Linked DNA regions of Diceros bicornis minor. The protein of the gene in region 2 purifies or fractionates together with the protein of the main gene of each other region. This does not show direct contact. Links are inferred from orthologs where the notes say so. Each region holds a gene or a part of one and is shown on either strand. Other genes may lie near its edges. The genes, in order: COPZ1 and ARCN1.

Region 1 (10,357 bases), on a different chromosome or scaffold from region 2:
TTTGGTTGGGGAGGAGGGATTGTATCTCCCCCTTCTGTGAAGACCAGGTACAATTCAACTGATTGGGTTTCCGCTCCAGCCAAGTTAACACAATGGATTCGGTTCCTGTTCACTTCAGCCATTTTATTATACTTGATTGGGTTAGCGTTTGATTGTGTTAGGGCTCCAGCCATTTTACTTTAAGTGATTAGACTGCTAGAGCTTTAGATATTTTGATAGAATTATGCTTTTCTGAAACTACACCAGGTCATTTGCTACTTCTACACGTGGGTGATCTCATCCATTACTCTCTGACTTTTCCTAATTTCACTTGTGGTACACAATCTTTGGGGGGCATTTCCTGTTACCGTTTTGTGTTCACTGCAGCCTGAAGAACTGCAATGGCTTCCTAGTTGATCTTTCTGCCTTCCACCTCTCTTCCAATCCTTCCTACACACACAGTTGTCAAATTAATCATATTAAAATTTCTTCCATACACACAGGTGAAAATACTTGCAACTCATATATCTGATAAAGTTTTAGTATCCAGAATATATAAAGAACTCTTAGAGCTCAACAACAAAAAGACAAATAACCCAATTAAAAAATGGGTAAATGACTTGAATAGACATTTCTCCAAAGAAGATACACAAATGGCCAACAAGCACATGAAAAGATGCTCAAATCATTAGTCATTAGGGAAATGCAAATCAAAACCACAATGAAACACCATTTCACACCAACTAGGATGGCTGTAAAAAAAAAAAAAGAAAAATAATAAATGTTAGTGAAGATGTGGAAAAATTAGAATCCTCATACCTTGCTGCTGGGAATGTAAAATGGTACAGCTTCTGTGGAAAATAGTTTGGCGGTTCCTCAAAAAGTTAAACATAGGATTACCATATGACCTAGCAATTCCACTCCTAGGTATATATCCAAAAGAACTGAAAACAGGTACTCAAATATTTGTTACACAAATGTTCATAGCAGCACTATTCACAATAGCCAGAAGGTAGAAAAAATCCAAACATGTCCATCAATTGAATGGACAAACAAAACAGGGTATACTGAGCAGTGGAAAATTATATGGCCACGAAAAGGAATAAAATGCTGATACATGCTAGAAAATGGATGCACCTTGACAACATTCTGCTAAGTGAAAGAAGCCAGATGGCAAAGGTCACATATTATATGATTCCATTTATTTGAAATATTCATAGAGACAGAAAGCAAATCGGTGGTTGCCAGGAGTTTGGGGAGGGGGAAATTGGGAGTGGTTGTGTAATGGGTACCAGGTTTTCTTTGGGGGTGATGAAAATGTTTTGGAACTAGATAGACGTGGTAGTTGCACAATATTATGAATGTACTTAACGCCACCAAATTGTACACTTTAAAATAGTTAATTTTTGTCATATGAATTTACCTTCAATTAAAAAATGCTTTCATAATCTCATGTCTTTGCTCAGAAGTGTTCAATGGTTTCCAATTATTTATAAGATAACAAATAACAACGGTAGAGCATTTAACAGTTTACACATATTTTTACACATATTATCTCACTTAATCCTCACAACTTTATCCCCATTTTGACACTAACTTTTGTGTTTATTAGTTTTTAAACATAAACACATGCTTATTGTAACAAAGTCAAACTATACCAACGTATATAAAGAAAAATTGTTTAATAATCCACTTTTTCCATCTCCCCATCTAGGTAACATATATTAATATCTTTCTTCCACATTGTACTCTATGTTGTATTTGCCAAGAATGCTCGTCTCCCAAATATCCGCATGATTCATTCTCCTTCTCCTTTCAGGTATTTATCAAATGTCCCCTTCTTGACCACTTTTTTTTTTTGGTGAGGAAGATTAGTCCCGAGCTAACATCTGTGCCCATCTTCCTCTATTTTATATATGGGACGCCACCACAGCATGGCTTGATGAGCGATGTGTAGGTCCACTCCCGGGATCTGAACCTGTGAACCCCGGGCCGCCGAAGCGGAATGCGCAAACTTAACCACTATGCCATGGGGCCAGCCCCTGCAACATACTTTTCTTCATTTAACATGCCATTACCTGGGCCGGCCCCACGGCTTAGCGGTTAAGTGTGCGTGCTCTGCTGCTGGCGGCCCGGGTTCGGATCCCAGGCGCGCACCGGCACACCGCTTTTCCAGCCATGCTGAGGCAGTGTCCCACGTACAGCAACTGGAAGGATGTGCAGCTATGACATACAACTATCTACTGGGGCTTGGGGGGAAAAAAATAAATAAAATTAAACAAACAAACAAACAAACCAAAAAAATCATGCCATTACCATTTCTCCAGGTTAAAGCATATGGCTTAACATTCCTTTTTATTAGTTGCATATTACTCCACAGTCTGGATGTAAAATAATCTGTTCAACTATCCTCCTATTGATAGACAATAATGTTATTTTTTGCTATTGTAAGCAATGTTGCAATAAGCATTCTTATATATGTATCACTATGTACTGGGTTATGTTTTTAATTTCTAGGAGGGGATGTACCCATGTTTAATTTTATAGGATGTTGCTATAACACTTTCCAAGAGTGTAAGCTCCAACTCCCATGGTCATCTGGTCCCACTACTTAGGTTTGCATTCAAGGCATTTCACAATCTGGCCACAAAGTACCTTTCCAGTTTTACTCCATCCTCTTCCCTATTTCTTTATTTCAATCCTCTGTGCTATGAAATCAATCCCTCAAAGATTTCTTACACAACTGTGAAGACATTATGCTAAGTGAAATAAGCCAAACACAAAAGGACAAATATTATATGATTCCACTTATATAAGGTACAAGTACAGTTAAATTCGTAGAGACAGAAAGTAAACTAGTGGTTACTAAGGTCTATGGGGGAGGGGAGAACCGAGCGTTATTGTTTAATGGGTACAGAGTTTCAGTTTGGGATGATGAAAAAGTTCTGGAGAGGGATAGTGGTGATGATTGCATAACAATGTGCTTAAGGCCACTGAACTGCACATTTAAAATGGTTAAAATGGTAAATTTTATGTTGTGTATAACACTAAATAAAATATTTTTTTACTTTACAATTTAAAAAGTAAAAAAAAAAAAAGATTCCTTACACATCCCAACCTCCATACCTTTATTCCTACCAAACTCCACCTGTCATTTAATCAATGCATGAATGAATCAAGGCCTAACTCACCCTCTTCTCTTAGACCTTGACCTCCCCCAGCTCCCATCCTCAGGGATCACTCCCTCCTCAGTATCTGTGCCTCTTGATATTTAACCCTGAACTGCCCTTTGACACTGCTCATTCATCTTTGTATCTTGCATTTTTACAAATATTCATTCCATTCAGTAAACACTTACTGTTTGAGGATTTACCGTTTGAGGGCTAGGTGCTAGGGAAATAAAATGAATGGGACAGGGGCCAGCACAGTGGCGTAGCGGTTAAGTGCACTTGCTCGGCTCGGTGGCCGGGGTTCGCAGGCCCGGATCCCGGGCTCGCACCATGCACCACTTGTCAAGCCATGCTGTGGCAGCGTCCCATATAAAGTAGAAGAAGATGGGCACAGATGTTAGCTCAGGGCCAATCTTCCTCAGCAAAAAGAGGAGAATTGGCAGCAGATATTAGCTCAGGGCTGATCTTCCTCACATACACACACACATACACACACACACAAATGTATGGGACAAGGCACTGCCTCAGATGGCAAGTCTGGTGTTATGTTGATGTCTTACAAAATGCCTACGACCGTAAACGATGGCAGCAAGGAGAAAGTGTCCAACTCCACCTGGGACATCAGGGAAGGCTTCATGAGAAGAAGATGTTGATTTTGTTCTTTAAAAAATAGCTCATTTCTCTCCTTTTATTTATTTATTTTTTAAAATTTCATTTATTTATTTCCCCCAAAGCCCCAGTAGATAGTTGTATGTCATAGTTGCACACACTTCTAGTTGCTGTATGTGGGACGCGGCCTCAGCATGGCCGGAGAAGCGGTGCGTCGGTGCTAGCTCGGAGCGCACACACTTAACCGCTAAGCCACGGGGCCGGCCCTATTTTTCTCCTTTTAAAATAGCACCCACACATTTTAGAATACCTGGAAAAATATGGAAACACTGAAAAAAGTCCTACTACTTCAAAACAGCCACTGGTTACATTTTGTTGTGTTTCCTTTCAGTCTTTTCCTCCACTCATTTTTAATAAATTGTTTGTAACCATATATACATGGTTTTATATTATGTGTGTATACATATAAATACATAGAGCGAGACAGAGACAGAGACAGGGAGAGAGAGGGAGAGAGGGAGAGGGAACATATGCATTTTACGTTTGATTGGTTCTTGAAGGTTTTCCAGGTGAAGGGAAGATGGAAACAAAAGGAGCAGGAATGATCACAGAACTTGAACACTAGGTAGGGCCTTAGAAAACTCTGGTCTGAGCCTCCCCATTTTCCAGAAGTGGCAGCTGTAGTCCAGAGAGGGTACAAGGACTTGCCAGAAGTCTCCCACTTATTAAGGCAAAGTCATGACAAGAATATTTCCGATTCAGCTAGTTGTCTTCTCCTCACCACTAACTCCCCATAGTTACTCAATAGGCTGGAGAGCTAAGAATCAGCCATTTTCTGGAACAATGGCTGACTGTTAAAATTTGTCAGTTACTCCACAATCAAAGAAAGAGGAGTCCCCTCCTCCCCAACCAACCACATCACACATTTTTCCTCCTCATGGTCCCTCTAGAACATCTGGCTCTGGTGTAGGGTACTTCAGGTAGGACCGGGACGAAAGAGAGGCTATACCACAAGTCAGAGGAGTGGATTGTGGGTAAGAACATGGCTTTAGAACCAGACCTCCTATGCTCAAATGTAAGGATGCCAGTTAATAGTTGTATGGCCTTAAGTAAATTATTTAACTGTTCCGAGCTCCACTTTTCTCATCCGTAAAATGGGAGTAATAACCATCTACTTCATAAGGGTTTTAAACATATTTTAAATAGTGTATTCAAAGATTTAGCATGTGCCTGCCACATAGTAAGTGGTCAATAAATGTTAATATTAAGCTAGCAAGCCAAGGACAACCTTGTGATGCCAGGCACAGTGCTAAATGCTGGAATAACTCCCCATTCAGAATAGATAAAGGCTAAGCCCTTGTTTCTTCCAGATATGAGGCTTGTCACCTGTGACTTCACCAGAAAGTCATATACTTTCCTTCATAGCATATGTTAGCTCTGTAGTTTGTTTTGTATTGTTCTATACTTTTTTCTTAGGTCCTCTAACTCTACTCTGAAATTATTAGAAAAATTCCTCGTTTTGATGCCCTTCTTGGAGGGCTCCTAAAGACATAATTGTCAGAGATGGGGGGAAAAAAAAACACAAACACTTTGGAGATAATATAAGGCAACAGAAGGTGTCCCTGATCTAAGGGGGATTGGGGACCAAGGAACCGAGAGGTAGGTGAAAGCTAAACTTTATCAAAGCCCTTCCCTATTGTGAAATCCCTGCATTCGGTAAACTTCTCTTTTCTCGTTTTTGCAACGGCTTGTCCCTACTGGAAAACCGCAGACCCTGCTCCCTATACCCTCCTTTATCCTGGACCCTTTACCCCTTTGTCCCTCCTACTCTTTCCTCTTCGGTCTCCAAAGTTCTAACATCCCGTTTCACGTCCGGCCAAAGAAAATCTGTTTTTAGAAACTCACTGGCTGCTTGTCCTTCCCTGGGCCCAGCAAAGCCAGGAACACCACAATGGGGAGATCGTTACTCCAGCAATCAACCTCTGGTGGCCTTGGTTTATCTAGTTAACATGCTGGGCATCTCTTGGCTTTACTCTATGGTTGTGCAGACTTGCTGTGAGGTTGCTGAAGTGACCTGAGAGAGTCTGAGGGGAGAGCTAGCATTGTTGGCCAAAGCAACCATGGATATCAGGGACCTAACGGGGGCTCTTGGAATGGGGATTAGGGTAGGATTCTCTCAGGCGCTGCCAGTGTTAAGGGCTAAAGAGACACAGCGCCCCCTAAAGGGAGTGCGGATTAAAGTTGCTAAATCAGACGGGAGGTATCACATGCCCTTCGCCCAGCCAATCGAAAATTAATAATCGCTTCCCCTGTTCCCCATGGAAACAACCCCGCCCCACTGGCCCTCCCGCCCCGTTCAGGCTTGAGGTTTTGGCGTTTTATTGAGTGTTTAAACTGACAATCAAATACTTGCGCCTTCTGGTTGGGCGCCTTGCTTCCGCTAAGCAAGCTAGTACACTGATTGGTCAGTAGAGCAATAGCTGGCACCTGGTAGTCCAATAACCCCCATCCTGGGCGGCGCCTCATGAGGGCGTAGGGCCAATCAGCGGCGGCGTTGCTTTTGCGGCTCCACGTCGGCACCGGCTGCGGGGCAAGATGGAGGCGCTGATTTTGGTAGGAGCCGGGGGGGCAGCTGGGATACTGCGGTGTCCACAGGGGCCGGGAGTAGGGGTTCAACTTGACTGGGAGTGGGGAGAAAGAGGAGTTCCGGGTAATCCTCGGGGACCGAAGGTTCTGCCGGCCTGTGGAATAAGCGTGTGGCCTAGCGCAGGAGCTAAAGCCTCGGTTTAGAGTAGAAAGCTCCGCCGGGGAGAGGGCAGAGTCGGTGGAAAGTTGAAGGGAGCACGTGGACTCTTTGAGACACATAGGATCATAAGCGCAGTGGATTGGGGTCCTTCAGGTTCCCCCTGATTCTGAGCATTGTGGATGATACCCTGATTTGAGTTTCCCCAAACCTCCAAACTCGCCCCAAATTGTAATAATAGAGGGCAGGTGTTTGTCATCACAGGCTCCTCCTGATGGTTTGACTCTGTGTTGATCATTCCGTCAAGAAACTGTTTTCTTTTTACTTCAGTTTATCCCTTTTATGTGGATTTGTCATGATGAAGAATCAGTATTCCATCCAAGTTCTGGAATACCTGATAGAGTTAGCGTGGATTTGGAATATTTTTCCAGACTCCTTATTCTGTTCTCCTTTTCCCTCCCCCATTTAAACCTTAGGAATTCTTATTGTAGGATCTGGGATGCTAACTCGCCCTCTGGTTATATGAGAATTTTGGTGGCTAAAGGGGTGTATTAGCTCCCTTGTCCATATGATCCTTTTTGCTTGTTTAAACAAATAGAATAACTCCTTCTTTAGAACTGGACCAGAGCATTTCTCTCAAAAGGGCCCTGTTTTGCAATTTGAGGTTGTTAACACACCTCTGTGTAGGAGTTTAGCTTCCAGCTCCTTCCTTGAGTTGAACTCGAGGCCTCTTTCCTGTCTTTTTTTTTTCCTTCAGCTCTAATACATGTACACATTCAGATCCTCAACAGGTAAAGAGAATACGGGTTTAATTCCCCTCTTTCAAAATGGCAAAGATAGAGATAATTCCTTCTCGTCATATGGGTTAGTCAAGTCTAGATAGAAAGCTTAAAATGTGAGTAGTTTTTAGTAAGATATTTTCTATACCAGGCAGTTAACCAGTATTCTTAAACAGTTAGCAGACTGGGAGAAATTCTAGGGAATTGATTTCTTTGGAAGTTTTTAGAAATTTTTAGACTGCTCCCTACATCTGTTTAGAAGGGAACCTGCTTAGAGGTAAAAGAGTGAGAGAGATGATACTTGGGGAGCCCTTTTAACAAGGGATCTGTGTGTTGTGGTGAGTTGAGGGAGTTATATGTGAAAGTCTGTCGGTCACATTTTCTTTGACCTCAGTTCTCTGTCTCTGCTTCCTCAGTGAAGTCTATTTCTTGCTTCTTCCTAATATGCATTTTGATCTGTACCTAAGATGCCGCATTCACAGATCCTTGCTAACCGGGTCAGGTACCCCTGAACTTTGCTTTAAAAACCATACTGATTCTTTGTTGTGAGGAACCTATGTAATAGGGTTAGGGGAAACCCAGGTATAGGGAAAAGAGCTTGCTCAAGGAAGCACAGTGTCAAAATTAGGATTAGATTCTGGTTCCTAATCGTCCCAGAGCAAGTCCCTCTCTGATGATAGCACACCATGGGCTTTCCACCTCTTCTATATGCAAAATTGTACTTTCATCCATCAGTTACATAAAGCTTTTGTTGGGGACGAAGTGCCAACAGGTATCAGTTCTTGTGCTGGTCTCCAGGATTCTTAGGATATTCAACTAGTATTTTCCTTCCTCTGTGTTGGTTCTGTCCAACATTTTTTGTTTTTTGCTCTTTACAATTTGAATATATTTTGAGGCTGCAGAATTTTTGTGTGCATGTGTGAGGAAGATTAGCCCTGAGCTAACATCTGTTGCCAATCCTCCTCTTTTTGCTGAGGACTGTTGGCCCTGGGCTAACATCTGTGCCCATCTTCCTCTGCTTTATATGGGATGACGCCACAGCATGGCTTGACAAGCGTTGCGTTGGTCTGCCCCCGGGATCCGAACCTGCCAACGCTGGCCCGCCAAAGCTGAGCATATGAACTTAACTGCTGTGCCACCAGGCCGTCCTCTGGCCCGCAGAATTTATATACCTTTCTCACCATTCCAGCCCTTCTCAACTGGAGTTCCGGGAGAGAATTAAGCCTTAATGCCCTAAGGCATTCATTGTGTGTTATGAGTCAACTTCTTTCCTCTGTATCCACAAAGGCACTAGTTTCGTACCGCCCATGGGAGAAGCGAGAAAATAATTTAAATAATTTTCGGTCGTTCATATGAGGAACCCTAGTTGAGAATCAGGTGATATTTCCTGAATTTTTATTTCTCTTCTCACTAGACTCACATGCTGGCCTACAAAATTTAGCTCCATCTGATACAGAATCACCCTTCCTCACTGCTCCTTTTAATCGCATCCCTTCGTCTGTCAACTCAGCAGCATCTCCTTATTCTTAGGTTACCATCTTCATTATGAAAAGTATGAGGAATCCCTGGATCTTACCTTACCTCTCTACTGAACTAAAGAGTTTACTGTGCCCAGATGGTGCTTACCAAGCCACTCTTTAGAGAGGACAGACACCTTCTAAAATTCCTTTAGGCTTCCTTCTTTCACATTTCTATTTCCTGGTTTGGCTGGACCTCTGAGGAAATCTGATCAAAGCATATTTTTCTATCCTCACCTCTGCAAGGCACACAGCCATAGGACATTGAGAAGAAGGGAAGGGTAAGCTAGAAGGGGGTCAAGAAGAACCATCAATCGAAATTTGATCCGATTATGGGAATTTCTAAATACCAGTAGGTTCCCTTCATTTAGGTACTTTACAATGGGTCACCTTTCTTTCTTTTTTTTTTTTAATTTTATTTATTTATTTTTTCCCCCAAAGCCCCAGTAGATAGTTGTATGTCACAGCTGCACATCCTTCTAGTTGCTGTATGTGGGACGCGGCCTCAGCATGGCCGGAGAAGCGGTGCGTCGGTCCGCGCCCGGGACGGCCCGGGCCGCCAGCAGCGGAGCGCGCGCACTTAACCGCTAAGCCACGGGGCCGGCCCTACCTTTCTTTCTTGAATTAAGTAATCTTGCCCTAGCTTTTCAAGCAGATTTGTCTAATCTTTCTCAGTTCTCCTTATAGTCTCTAAGGGAAGAGACCCTTTCATCTCCTTCATTCCCAATGCTTAATAATAATGCTCCCAGCCTGCATCTGTGGACTCAGCTTCCCCTCTCCTGCTGTTTTCTGCTGGTTCTCCCTTTCTTAGTTGTGAATGGAGAGAGATCTCTGCAGGTCACCATTCTCCATTAATAACCCAGGAATCTTAAAGATAATGACTATCCCCTTCTTCCCTTCCCCTTTACCTTTTTTTCTCAAAGTGGAATTACTGTAGCAGTCTAGATTCTTAAATCTTTCCTCATAGGTTTCATTTTTCCTAATCCTCTCTGGATTCACTTGCTGAGTGTTTTTCCATTGCTTTACGGACTAGACTTAACTCTGTCCTTTCTCTCCCCTTAATAACATTTTTGTCCTAAAACAATGACCAAATCCCGAATTGTAAGCCTCATTCAAAAACCAGGGCATCCAAAGTGCACAACAGCATGTGTGTATATAGAGGAGGAAACTATGCAGAATACATCAATGACTCTTAAAGGTTGATATTGCTCTGTGGCCTTCGCTTCCTGAATCATCTTAATGGGGCTTTTGTTAAATTCCTTTGGCACTAACAGTAGAAGTACTTGGCCTAAATGCCCCCTCCCCCTGCTCTGGGCAAAGGTATCAATTACATTAAGCCCCCAAAGCACTCCCATCTCGTTCCTGGCAGTCCCCTGTGCCCCTTTCCCAGCTGCGTCCTTGCCGGTGCCTGGCCCCTCCATTTCGTTAGGGGAAGCAATCTCCTCGTTCCTGCACTGTGGAGACATATTTCTCAGCTAGGGCGCGAACAGTGCCAGCACTGCCCCCGGTGAGGTCCCTGGCAGCCATAAAAATTTTTATTGTGATTATGTTGGTGTCGGG
Region 2 (10,166 bases):
TCCTTAAGGCTTCTTCGCCCCAAGTCAAGCAGTTAAGTCATTCTGCTGCAGCTCTTCATTTAGGAACTGCTGGCAGGCTGGCTAAGGAATGAGGGAAACGTGGAGGGAAACGACAGCCAACTTCTGCAGCAGCTCCTTAAAGCTGTAAGATACACAAGACCCCGCGCAAGGGCAGAACAGGATTCCTCTGTAGATGGCGGCTCTCTTCTCAGGTTCGATCGGTTTCCCCAAGGCTGTTGGGGTTTCTCAGGGGAGGCTGAAGAGGCTCTAGAAAGAGTTCTCTCTGGGATCACCCCGTGGCGGGGGTCGGGGGGAAGAGAGGGTAAACTCCAGTCTCTCGGTCCCAGCCAATAATCCCCAAAGCATCATCCCCATCTACACTCCCCGTCTTGCAGGTCGGATCCCACTTAAGTTTCTTGGGGAGTAAAGGAAGCAGTACGGTTGGTAGTGGCGTGAAGGAGGGAGAGAAAGAACAGCTGTTGAGATGGAAAGAGGTAGAGAGGGTTGGGGAGAGGGAAGGGGAGTCCTTTAAAATTCCTCTTGGGAGGGAGAAAGGGAATTCTCTTTCTGCTAGGGTGAGTACGAATTACCTGTAGCCCCTCTGAATCCGTCTCCCCTAGATGGAAAGAACCCCAGCCTAAGGCTGGAGTCTCACTCCAATCTCAGGCTAGGCCACTTGAGGGATTCCACTTGAAGCAACCGGCCTGTTGTCAGTCGCTAGGCAGGAAAAAAAAAATTCGCGAGACTTGCTTTCACTCTCGTGCGACCTTCTCCATTCACTTGCGCATTACGTCTCTTCCAGAGAAGGATCCGAGGAGGATCAAGAGGGACTCGGATAAAGCCTCTCTGGGAGATCAAGTCTCCTGTTTGTCTATGGTTTCAATAAATGCGTCTGTGGCGGCATCTAGCGGTCACGGGTGAAAAAGCGGGCTGAGGAATTTCGGTTCGTATAGTTAGCCCTCCAATCTGGAAATACCGCGTGCATTCCGGCCCCCCCCCCCCCCCCCCCCCCCGCCAAGGACCATTGGGCATGCAATTCCTACTAAATCAGTCTCATCAGAATTTAGGCAAAAATCTCCAGGGAATACTTTGTACGTCCTTTTATAGCATTTATATTATATTATAGTCCTTTCCCTCCACGATGTCCTGTTGCATGGGACATACGTTAACAAATCGTTGTTTATCTATCTGAGACTCAAATTTAACCCAGTGTCCTGTATTTTTATTTGCTAAAGAAGACTGAGCTTCCTTAGGGCACGGCCTGGGTCTAAATTTTTAACCTCTTCATAGTGTCAGTGTGTTGCATAAATTGGGCGCTTTAAAAATGCTGGTAAGGGCCGCCGGTCGCTTAGCGGTTAAGTGCCCATACTCTGCTGCTAGCTCCCCGGTTAGGGTCCCAGGCGCGCAAGGACTGACTGCTTCTCTGGCCTTGCTGAGGCCGCGTCCCACATACAGCAACTAGAAGGATGTGCAGCTATGACATACAACTATCTACTGGGGCTTTAGGGGAAAAAAATAAATAAACAAATAAAATTATTAAAAAAAAATGCTGGTTTTAAAAAATGCTCTTGGGTGGATGAATGAAGGAATGAGTGAATGAAGATGTAAGGAACAAATGTCCCAAAACTATAGACACAGTTAATTTTGGGAGTCAGAGAGAGAGAAACAAAGAAAGGAATATTGGAAATTTGACCCTGAAAACCTGTCAGGGGAAAGCGGGAAAGTGGTTTTAAAAAGAAAACAAGAGACACCACTTCTGAGACACTCTGGTTAAAAATGGAACTGCAAAACATTTAAAAAATTTTTTGTCATCTGTTATTGCTAATAATAATGGATATGTATTGTTAGTGCCATGGAATTGATTCAGGCTCCTAGCAACCCTGTGTACAGCAGAGCGGAACTCTGCCATGTCTTTTTGCACCATCCTCTCACCTTCCAGAGCTATATCAGACAATGCTCAGGGCTGCTATTCATAGGTGTGTGTGTGTGTGTGTGTGTGTGTGTGAGGAAGATTAGCCCTTAGCTAACATCTGTTGCCAATCCTCCTCTTTTTGCTGAGGAAGATTGGCCCTGAGCTGACATCTGTGCCCATTTTCCTCTACTTTATATGTGGAATGCCTGCCACAGCATGGCTTAATAAGCGGTGCAGTCTGTGCCGGGGATCCGAACCTGCAAACCCTGGGCCGCCGAAGCAGAGCGCATGAACTTAACGACTATGCCACTGGGCCAGTCGCTATTCATAGGATTTTCATTGCCAATTTTTTCAGAAGTGGGTAGCTAGGTCCTTCTTCTTAGTCTGTCTGTCTGGAAACTCTGCTGAAATCTGTCCACCATGGGTGACCCCACTGGTATTTGAAATACCGGTGGCATAGCTTTCAGCATCACAGCAACATTCAGCCACTATAGTATGACAACAGACAGACAGATGGTGTGGTTCCCAGTCAGGGAACATGGGCTGTGGCAGTGAGAGTGCCAAATCTTAACCACCACACCCTGTAGGAGCACTTAGATTATACAATTTTATTTATTAATATATTGTTTAACTTCACAACCTTATGAGATAGATGTTACTGCCAATTTACAGATTAGGTAACTGAGGCTGAGGAGAGTTAAAGCAACTTGCCTAAAGTCACTCAGCTAGTAAGTGCTGAAAATGGGAGTCAAACACAAGGCAGTCTAACTCCCAAGTCTCTGCTTTTAAAACCACTATGACTACTGCCTTTAAGGTGCTCCTCATGAAGCATGCTTGCAGGGTGCTTTTCTTCCACAGTTTAATTCAGCTACTATCATATTTCCAAAGAATCAGCATCAACTGGTCTTTCCTGAGCCTCGGTAGTCCATATTGAAGGCCCCTGGAAGCTGCCTCAATAAAGCAATAATTCCAGGCAGGATTTTTACTTTTTTTAAATTAAGAATTTGTTCATCTTTTTAAAAATACATGTGCTTCTTATAACAAAAATAAACAATACAGTTTGACATATATCCTTCCAGACATGCAAAGTTTAAAAATACATGAGCTTTGTAAAGATTCTACTAGAAAGTCATTGGAGATGGAATTGAAATGAGTAACAGTGAGAATTCTATAATGCCGTGCTTAAGGGTACAGGTTCTGAAGTTGAGCAGCCTTTGTTCGAATCCTGGCTTTGCTACTTTCTAGCTCTGAGACCTGTGGTAGAATAGCTTTCTTCTCTGTACCTTGGTTTCTCCACCTGTAAAATAGAGATATTAATGGTACCAATCTCAGAGAATTCTTGTGAGGATTAAATGAGATGATCTGTGTGAAGAATTTAGAGTAATGCCTGCTACCTTGTAAGTGGTCAATAAACATTAAGGAATACACAGGAGATATAGAGAGGCAGTGTGTCATAATGAGAAAAGCTGGGTTTGAACCCTGGCTCTACTACTTACTGGCTGTGTGAGTTTGGGCAAGTGCTTAACTTCTTTGATCCTCTGCCCTTATCTAGATTGTTATAAAGGAATAGGGATAACATATATAAAGTACCTGACATAAAATAAACACTCAATAAAAGATTGCTGCTTATCCATTATTGCAGCAATGGATGTGCTGCAGAGTCGAGCCAGTGATATAGGGAAGAACTGCTGAATCACATATTCTCTAAGTCTGACATTTGGCGTGGGAGAACTACCAACAGAATCAGAAGACTGGATTGGAGTCTTGTTTCCATTATATACTGGCCTACAACCTTGGGTAAATTGCTTAAACTTGTCATCATTTTCTTCATCTACAAAATGGACATAAGCACAGTAACTGCCCTGCTTCCCACACACATTTTTTAAAGATATAATTTACAAACTATAAAAATTCATCCTTTTAGGGGCCAGCCCAGTGGCCAAGTGGTTGGGTGTGCGCGCTCTGCTGCAGCGGCCCGTGGTTCACCGGCTTGGATCCTGGGCGCACACCGAGTACCACTTGTCAGGCCATGCTGTGGTGGCGTCCCATATCAAAGTGGAGGAAGATGGGCACGGATGTTAGCCCAGAGCCAGTCTTCCTCAGCAAAAAGAGGAGGATTGGCAGATGTTAGCTCAGGGCGGATCTTCCTCACACACACACAAAAAATCATCCTTTTAAAGTGTACAATTCAGTGGTTTTTAGTATATTCACAAAATTGTGCAACCACCACCCCTATCTAATTCTAGAACATTTTCATCACTCCAAAAAATAAACCTCACTCGCCATTCCTCTTCTCCTCCAGCCCCTTGCAGCCCTACTTTCTGTCTCTATATATTTGCCTATTATAGACATTTCACATAAATGGAATCATATAAGATGTGGTCTTTTGTGACTGGCTTCTTTCACTTAACATAACATTTTCAAGGTTCATACATGTTGTATAATGTATCAGCACTTTATTCCTTTTTATGATCGAGTAATAGTCCATTGTATAAATATACCACATTTTTTTATCCATTCATCTATTGATGGACATTTTGGATTGTTTCTACTTTTTGGCTATTATGAATAAAGTTTTATGAACATTAGTGTAGGATTTTTTGTGAGGTCTTATGTTTTTAATTCTCTTGGTATATATCAAGGACTGGAATTGCTGGATCATATAGTAACTATATGTTTAACTTGTTTTTTTTTGCTGGGAAAGGATCACCCTAAGCTAACATCTGTCGCCAATCTTCCTCTCTTTTTTTTTTTTCTCCCCAAAGACCCAAGTACATAGTTGTACGTTCTAGTTGTAAGTCTTTCTAGTTCTTCTACCTTAGCGGCTGTCACAGCATGGCAACCGACAGACAACTGGTGTGATTCTGCATCCAGGAACCCAACCCTATGCAAAGGGAAATTGCACAGAACTTTAACCACTAGGCAATCAGGGCTGTCTCTGTTTAACTTTTTGAGGCACTGCTAAACTGTTTCTGAAAGTGGTTGCACTATTTTACATTCACACCAGCGGTGTATGAGGATTCAAATTTCTCCATATTCTCATTGACATTTATTATTATTATAGCCATCCTAGTGGGTGTGAAGTAGTATCTCATCGTGGTTTTGACTTGCATTTCCCTAAGGACTAAGGATGTTGAGCATCTTTTTATGTGCTTATTGGTCATTTGTCTATCTTCTTTGGAGAAATGTCTGTTTTGTCCACTTGTAAATTGGACTATTTGTCTTTTCATTGTTGAGTAGTAAGAGTTCCTTATATATTCTGGATACTAGTCCCTTATGCACACAGGTTATTTTGTATGTTAAATGATATAGTGGCTGTGAGATCTTTATAAACTGTAAGAGGTACCACAAACTAAATGAAAGCTCTGACGAACGGTGAAAAGACAGAAGTATGAAGTTCCACGGCTTGGGGGGCGAAGCCCCTTGCATCCTTGGCGAACCAGCCGGTACCCACAATTTCCCCACCCCACGGCGCCCCGCCCTCCGCCCTTTGACCCGCGCCGTTTCCGGTTGGAGACGTGGCTCCAGGCCGCCATCTTGGCAAGAGGCGAAGCGGCAGCGGCCCCTGTCAGGGGGGTAGCAGGTCTGGAGCGGCTGGTACTGCCCTTCCCCTGACCCTAGCGCTATCCGCAGTGGAGCCGGAGCGCAGGTGCGCACCACCACCGCCCTCACCATGGTAAGTTCCGAGCCGGGTCCAACTCCCGGGGTCTGGCCTTGCTCGCTCGCTCTCCCTGCCGGACGGCTTGGTGCTGGGGCCACAGGAGCCCCGCCCCGAGGGCCTGCAGCCGGGCGCTTCCCTCAGGGCTGGGGGAGCGGCGTGGCCTTGCCCACCCTGTGCCGGGCCTCCCGGGAGATCCGATGGACCCGGCTCCAGTCCCTGTGTCGTCGCGCGCACACCCCCCTCCCGCCCCCGCCCAAACAGCTGGGACCCTCCGGGCCCTGGAACGGGCTTGGGGTTTTTGCGCTGCGAGAACCTCGTAGTGGTGTCGCTTGGACCCCATGCTGCGGCCTTCGGCGCTAATGTCCCGCCCGTTCCATGGGCGCCTGGGCTTAGCAGGCTGGGCCTCTCTCGGGGATTAGCTTCCTTCTGTAATCAGCTCTCCTCCCATCCCCGGTGTTCCGTAGGACATTGATACTCGAACTCCAAATCCATTGGTGTTCAGGACTTTTTCTTTTGTTTGTGAAAGGGGGAAATAGATGAAAGGAGGCATAAAACAGGAAGGAGTACCTTCTAACACTAATCTGTAGGACCCAACTGTCCCTGAAACCTTGCACTGCTTCTCCAGAATTTAGGTGTGTCCTTTTGTCAGTGGATTAAGTATACCCTGTGTATAGAGCACTGGGCAAATGTGAGCGAGTTAGAGAAAACACAGGCTGTCCTCAAGGAACTTACTGTTCCGGTAAAGTAAAATGTGTATGTGGCGTATCGTGATCAGATGTCTCACAGGAGCAGTAGAAACGGGTTATACTCTGGGACCTCTTACTTGGCTTCAAATGCGTTATCTTTGTGTTCTCATCTATTGTAGGGAAAAATTAACGTGGGTGAGGATGGGACAAAACAGTGCTGACTCCACTAAATCTTATTTTATCACTACAATTAGTGGATATTTATGAAGTAGGAGAAAATCTTTGGCTCCAAACGAGCTAGTAATTTATTTTTTAGTGAACTTTATGCCCTTCAGTGTTTTGAAGGATGTTCTTTTCTTTTTTTATTCTCTTTTTGTCAATAGATTAATAATTTGATTTAAAGCATTTTCCTGCACACTTGAGAGATGACAATATAATTTGGTGCCAGTAATGTTAAGTTCTATTGACAACGTTTTTTAGATGAGAACTTAGATGGTGGGGGGGATTCATGCTTGGGCTTAAAACCACTGAAAGGTTTTTTTCAGCTTCAGGCATATAAATTTTGTCAAGCAGGATTACCTCATAAAACTTTTACGTTGGACATAAAATTTCCAAAAACTCCTTTTTTCATTTTCACTAGGAGGCTTAGTATTTGGATAGTGATTTTTAAACTCCTTTTTGGATGTTTTTTACATCTTGGATGTATCTGTAGTGCATTTTAGAGCATGTTATAATTTTAATAGCGAAATTAAAGCCTTATATAAACCAAATATAGATAATCTTTACAAAAACTTTGTATGTTGAAAAGTTCTTGGAACTTAGTATTTTTAATTCATCGATAACTGCGGAATGGTAAAGCCCTAGGTGTTGACTGATAAACATAAAATATAAATTTTGTGTGTTACTCGGACACGTGCATATACATACAGTTGTGTCATATTTAGATATGCATATCTTTTTGAATTATTTAGGACTTGGCATGATCCAGATATCACAGATTTGTGTACTCTAGAGAACAGCTTATCTCAGTACATTCTGCTCTGTTGAATCTTAAGACGTTATTAAGTGTTATTGCTGTGTAATGTTTTTGGGCCCTATTCCTTTAGGAAGAGATCCCTGGACAGTAGAAACGTCCAAATAGGGTGACATTTGGTAAGATTTCTTGCATCTAAAAGTTGTATCAAAACTCCTGAAAGTTGATTTTTCCTTCACATTTTAGTATAAAATTTTCAAACATCTAGAAAAGTTGAAAGAATTTTACAGTGAACACCAATATAACCACCAGCTAGATTCTGTAATTAACATTTCACTATACTTGTTTTTCTCACACATCTAATCATCCATCCATTCTTCTATCCATCCTTTTTTTTAATGCATTTCAGAGTTAAGTTTCAGCTATCAGTACATAAATATTGATTTTTGAAAAATTTCCTTTACCTTTAGTTACTGAAATTCGTGCAAAATGTCCTACCTTGTGAAGTCCTAGTAGAGAAATAAATGAACAAATGCAAAAAGAAATGGCTTATGATGACTTTGTTATAAAATGAAGTACAAAAAAAGGCATCTTTTTTCTAGTTTTCTGCAAATTAATGAGAACATATTCTTATTTTCCTAATTTGTCAGATATCGTTAGAATCAGTTCTTTTTCTTAGTAAACTTACATTCGAATAAACTTGATATTTAGTCTCATGGTAGCACCAATCTGTAAAATCTTTGCTTATCTACAGAGTGCTGTTCTTATTTACTACTATAGGCAATGAGTAAACTTACTGTAGTGGTCAGATTAAATATAAATGATCCCAGTAAGTTCAGTTTCCAAAAGTCATTAGTTATTAGAAAGCTAGATTTGGGTTTGTATGGCAGATCTACACATGACGGGAGAAACTGAAATTCTACACAGTCATAACAGTTCCCAATTAGGGGATTATTATTGCTTGTTTTTTCCCTTTTTCATGTACAATACAGCAGCTGCACAGCTATTGTATTTTTTATTTATCTTTTTGATTGTTGTTTGAAAGGACAGCAAAGAATGAAAATGATTTTTTTGAGTTTTCCTTGATGGCCGTCTATTTATTCTCTGAGTAGGAAGTACACTGCAGAAAGTGAGAACTATGTCCATTTATTTTTATTCACTACAAGCTTGTGTTTTAGAACAGAAACTTGTGATAAGCTTAAAACTCTCACTGAGTAACTTTTCAAGTTTTAGGTTTTGTCTGTGGTCTAGATTTTATTGTAATCTTCCCTCTGATTTTATCTGTAATTAGTTCATGCAAACAGGAAAGATAAAATTGTCTCCTATGACAGTTGTAGAAACTAGCGTTAATATGATCATGAATTTTATATATTTATATAATCATTACAGTGAGTTACAAAGGAGAAAGTGACTGGTTAATTCGGGAAGTAAAGAATTCTGAAGCATTAGGGGTTCAAGAAAGTCGTTGACTTTTTTCTTTAGGGAATTGTGCGTGTTTATTCTGAATTACTACTCGTTATTCTTGGACCTCTATCACTAGTGGGCATGAAGGGATGATGTGGCAGCTATGTCACATGTGTATAGCCATATGTTGCTTAACGATGGGGATATGTTCTGAGAAGTGTGTCATTACACGATTTCGTCCTTGTGCAAACATCATAAAGTGTACTTACACAAACCTAGATGGTATTGCCTACTACATACATAGGCTATATGGTACTAATCTTATGGGACCACCGTTGTACATGCAGTCTGTCATTGACTGAAACATCCTTATGAGGGACATGACTGTGCTGTACACACACATGATTTGTTTTGGTTAGGCAGTTTGCCTTCTAGCAGCTTAATATTAACATAAAATGTGGTCCAAAGCAGTTACCACTGGAGCAGTGAGTGTGAAATGGAGGTATTGTACATTTTCTTTTGCTGTAAAGTCTTCAGGTGCTTAGAGTTACAGAATCTTAAAGATGTGAAGGCACTTTAGATTTCATATAAACTAACCTGTATTTTAGGGATAATTATTATTATTATTATTTTTTTTTTTTTGTGAGGAGATCAGCCCTGCGCTAACATCTGCCAATCCTCCTCCTTTTTTGCTGAGGAGGACTGGCCCTGGACTAACATCCGTGCCCATCTTCCTCTACTTTATATGGGATGCCGCCACAGCATGGCTTGTCAAGCAGTGCGTCGGTGCATGCCTGGGATCAGAACCGGCAAACCCTGGGCCACTGCAGTGGAGCGTGCACATTCAACCGCTTGCGCCACTGGGCTGGCCCCCTGTTATAGGGATATTTCAAGAAGCAACTAAGTGACTTATCCAAGGTCATATAATTAGTGGCAGAGGCAGAACAGAAACCTAATTCTCCAGGTTTCTTAAGCAACTTTCTGATCCATGTAGTTAAATCTGGGTAGGAGAGAGTTGTTACTTAATCCAAAAACAAATAATAATATACTCAAGCCATTGTAAGTATTATTAAGAGAAGAGTTATTTGGGGGCTGGCCCGGAGGCGCAAGCGGTTAAGTGCGTGCACTCCGCTGCAGAGGCCTGGGGTTCGCCAGTTCGGATCCCGGGCGCGCACAGCTGCACCGCTTGTCAAGCCATGCTGTGGCGGCGTCCCATATAAAGTGGAGGAAGATGGGCGTGGATGTTAGCCCAGGTCCAGTCTTCCTCAGCAAAGAAAGAGGAGGATTGGCAGATCTTAGCTCAGGGCTGGTCTTCCTCACACACACACCCACAAAAAAAGAGAAGAGTTGTTTGAAAAAACTCAACTTAATGGGGAATTTTATTTTATTTTTTCAAACAGTCCTGAAGAGATGATCTAACTTCTGGGCCCTTGGTTTTTACGTCTATAAAACAATCCAGGGCTCTTGAAAGTTCCTTTTAGGTCTAAATGTTCTTTTCCAAAAATGTAAAAAATAAATGAATAAAACAAC

The links.
Region 1: the proteins of ARCN1 (region 2) and COPZ1 fractionate together in Homo sapiens (co-fractionation; 5 studies listed by BioGRID and IntAct, with this or other methods). This does not show direct contact. The link is inferred for Diceros bicornis minor from reciprocal best matches to the Homo sapiens genes ARCN1 and COPZ1.

Annotation. Positions count from the first base shown.
Region 1 is NC_080756.1:16,082,986-16,093,342, reverse strand, and holds the start of COPZ1 (coatomer subunit zeta-1), read left to right. Parts: upstream 1-6,307; 5' UTR 6,308-6,353; coding exon 6,354-6,371; intron 6,372-10,357. UniProt on the Homo sapiens protein: The coatomer is a cytosolic protein complex that binds to dilysine motifs and reversibly associates with Golgi non-clathrin-coated vesicles, which further mediate biosynthetic protein transport from the ER, via the Golgi up to the trans Golgi network.
Region 2 is NC_080746.1:18,318,419-18,328,584, reverse strand, and holds the start of ARCN1 (coatomer subunit delta), read left to right. Parts: upstream 1-5,455; 5' UTR 5,456-5,585; coding exon 5,586-5,588; intron 5,589-10,166. UniProt on the Homo sapiens protein: Component of the coatomer, a cytosolic protein complex that binds to dilysine motifs and reversibly associates with Golgi non-clathrin-coated vesicles, which further mediate biosynthetic protein transport from the ER, via the Golgi up to the trans Golgi network.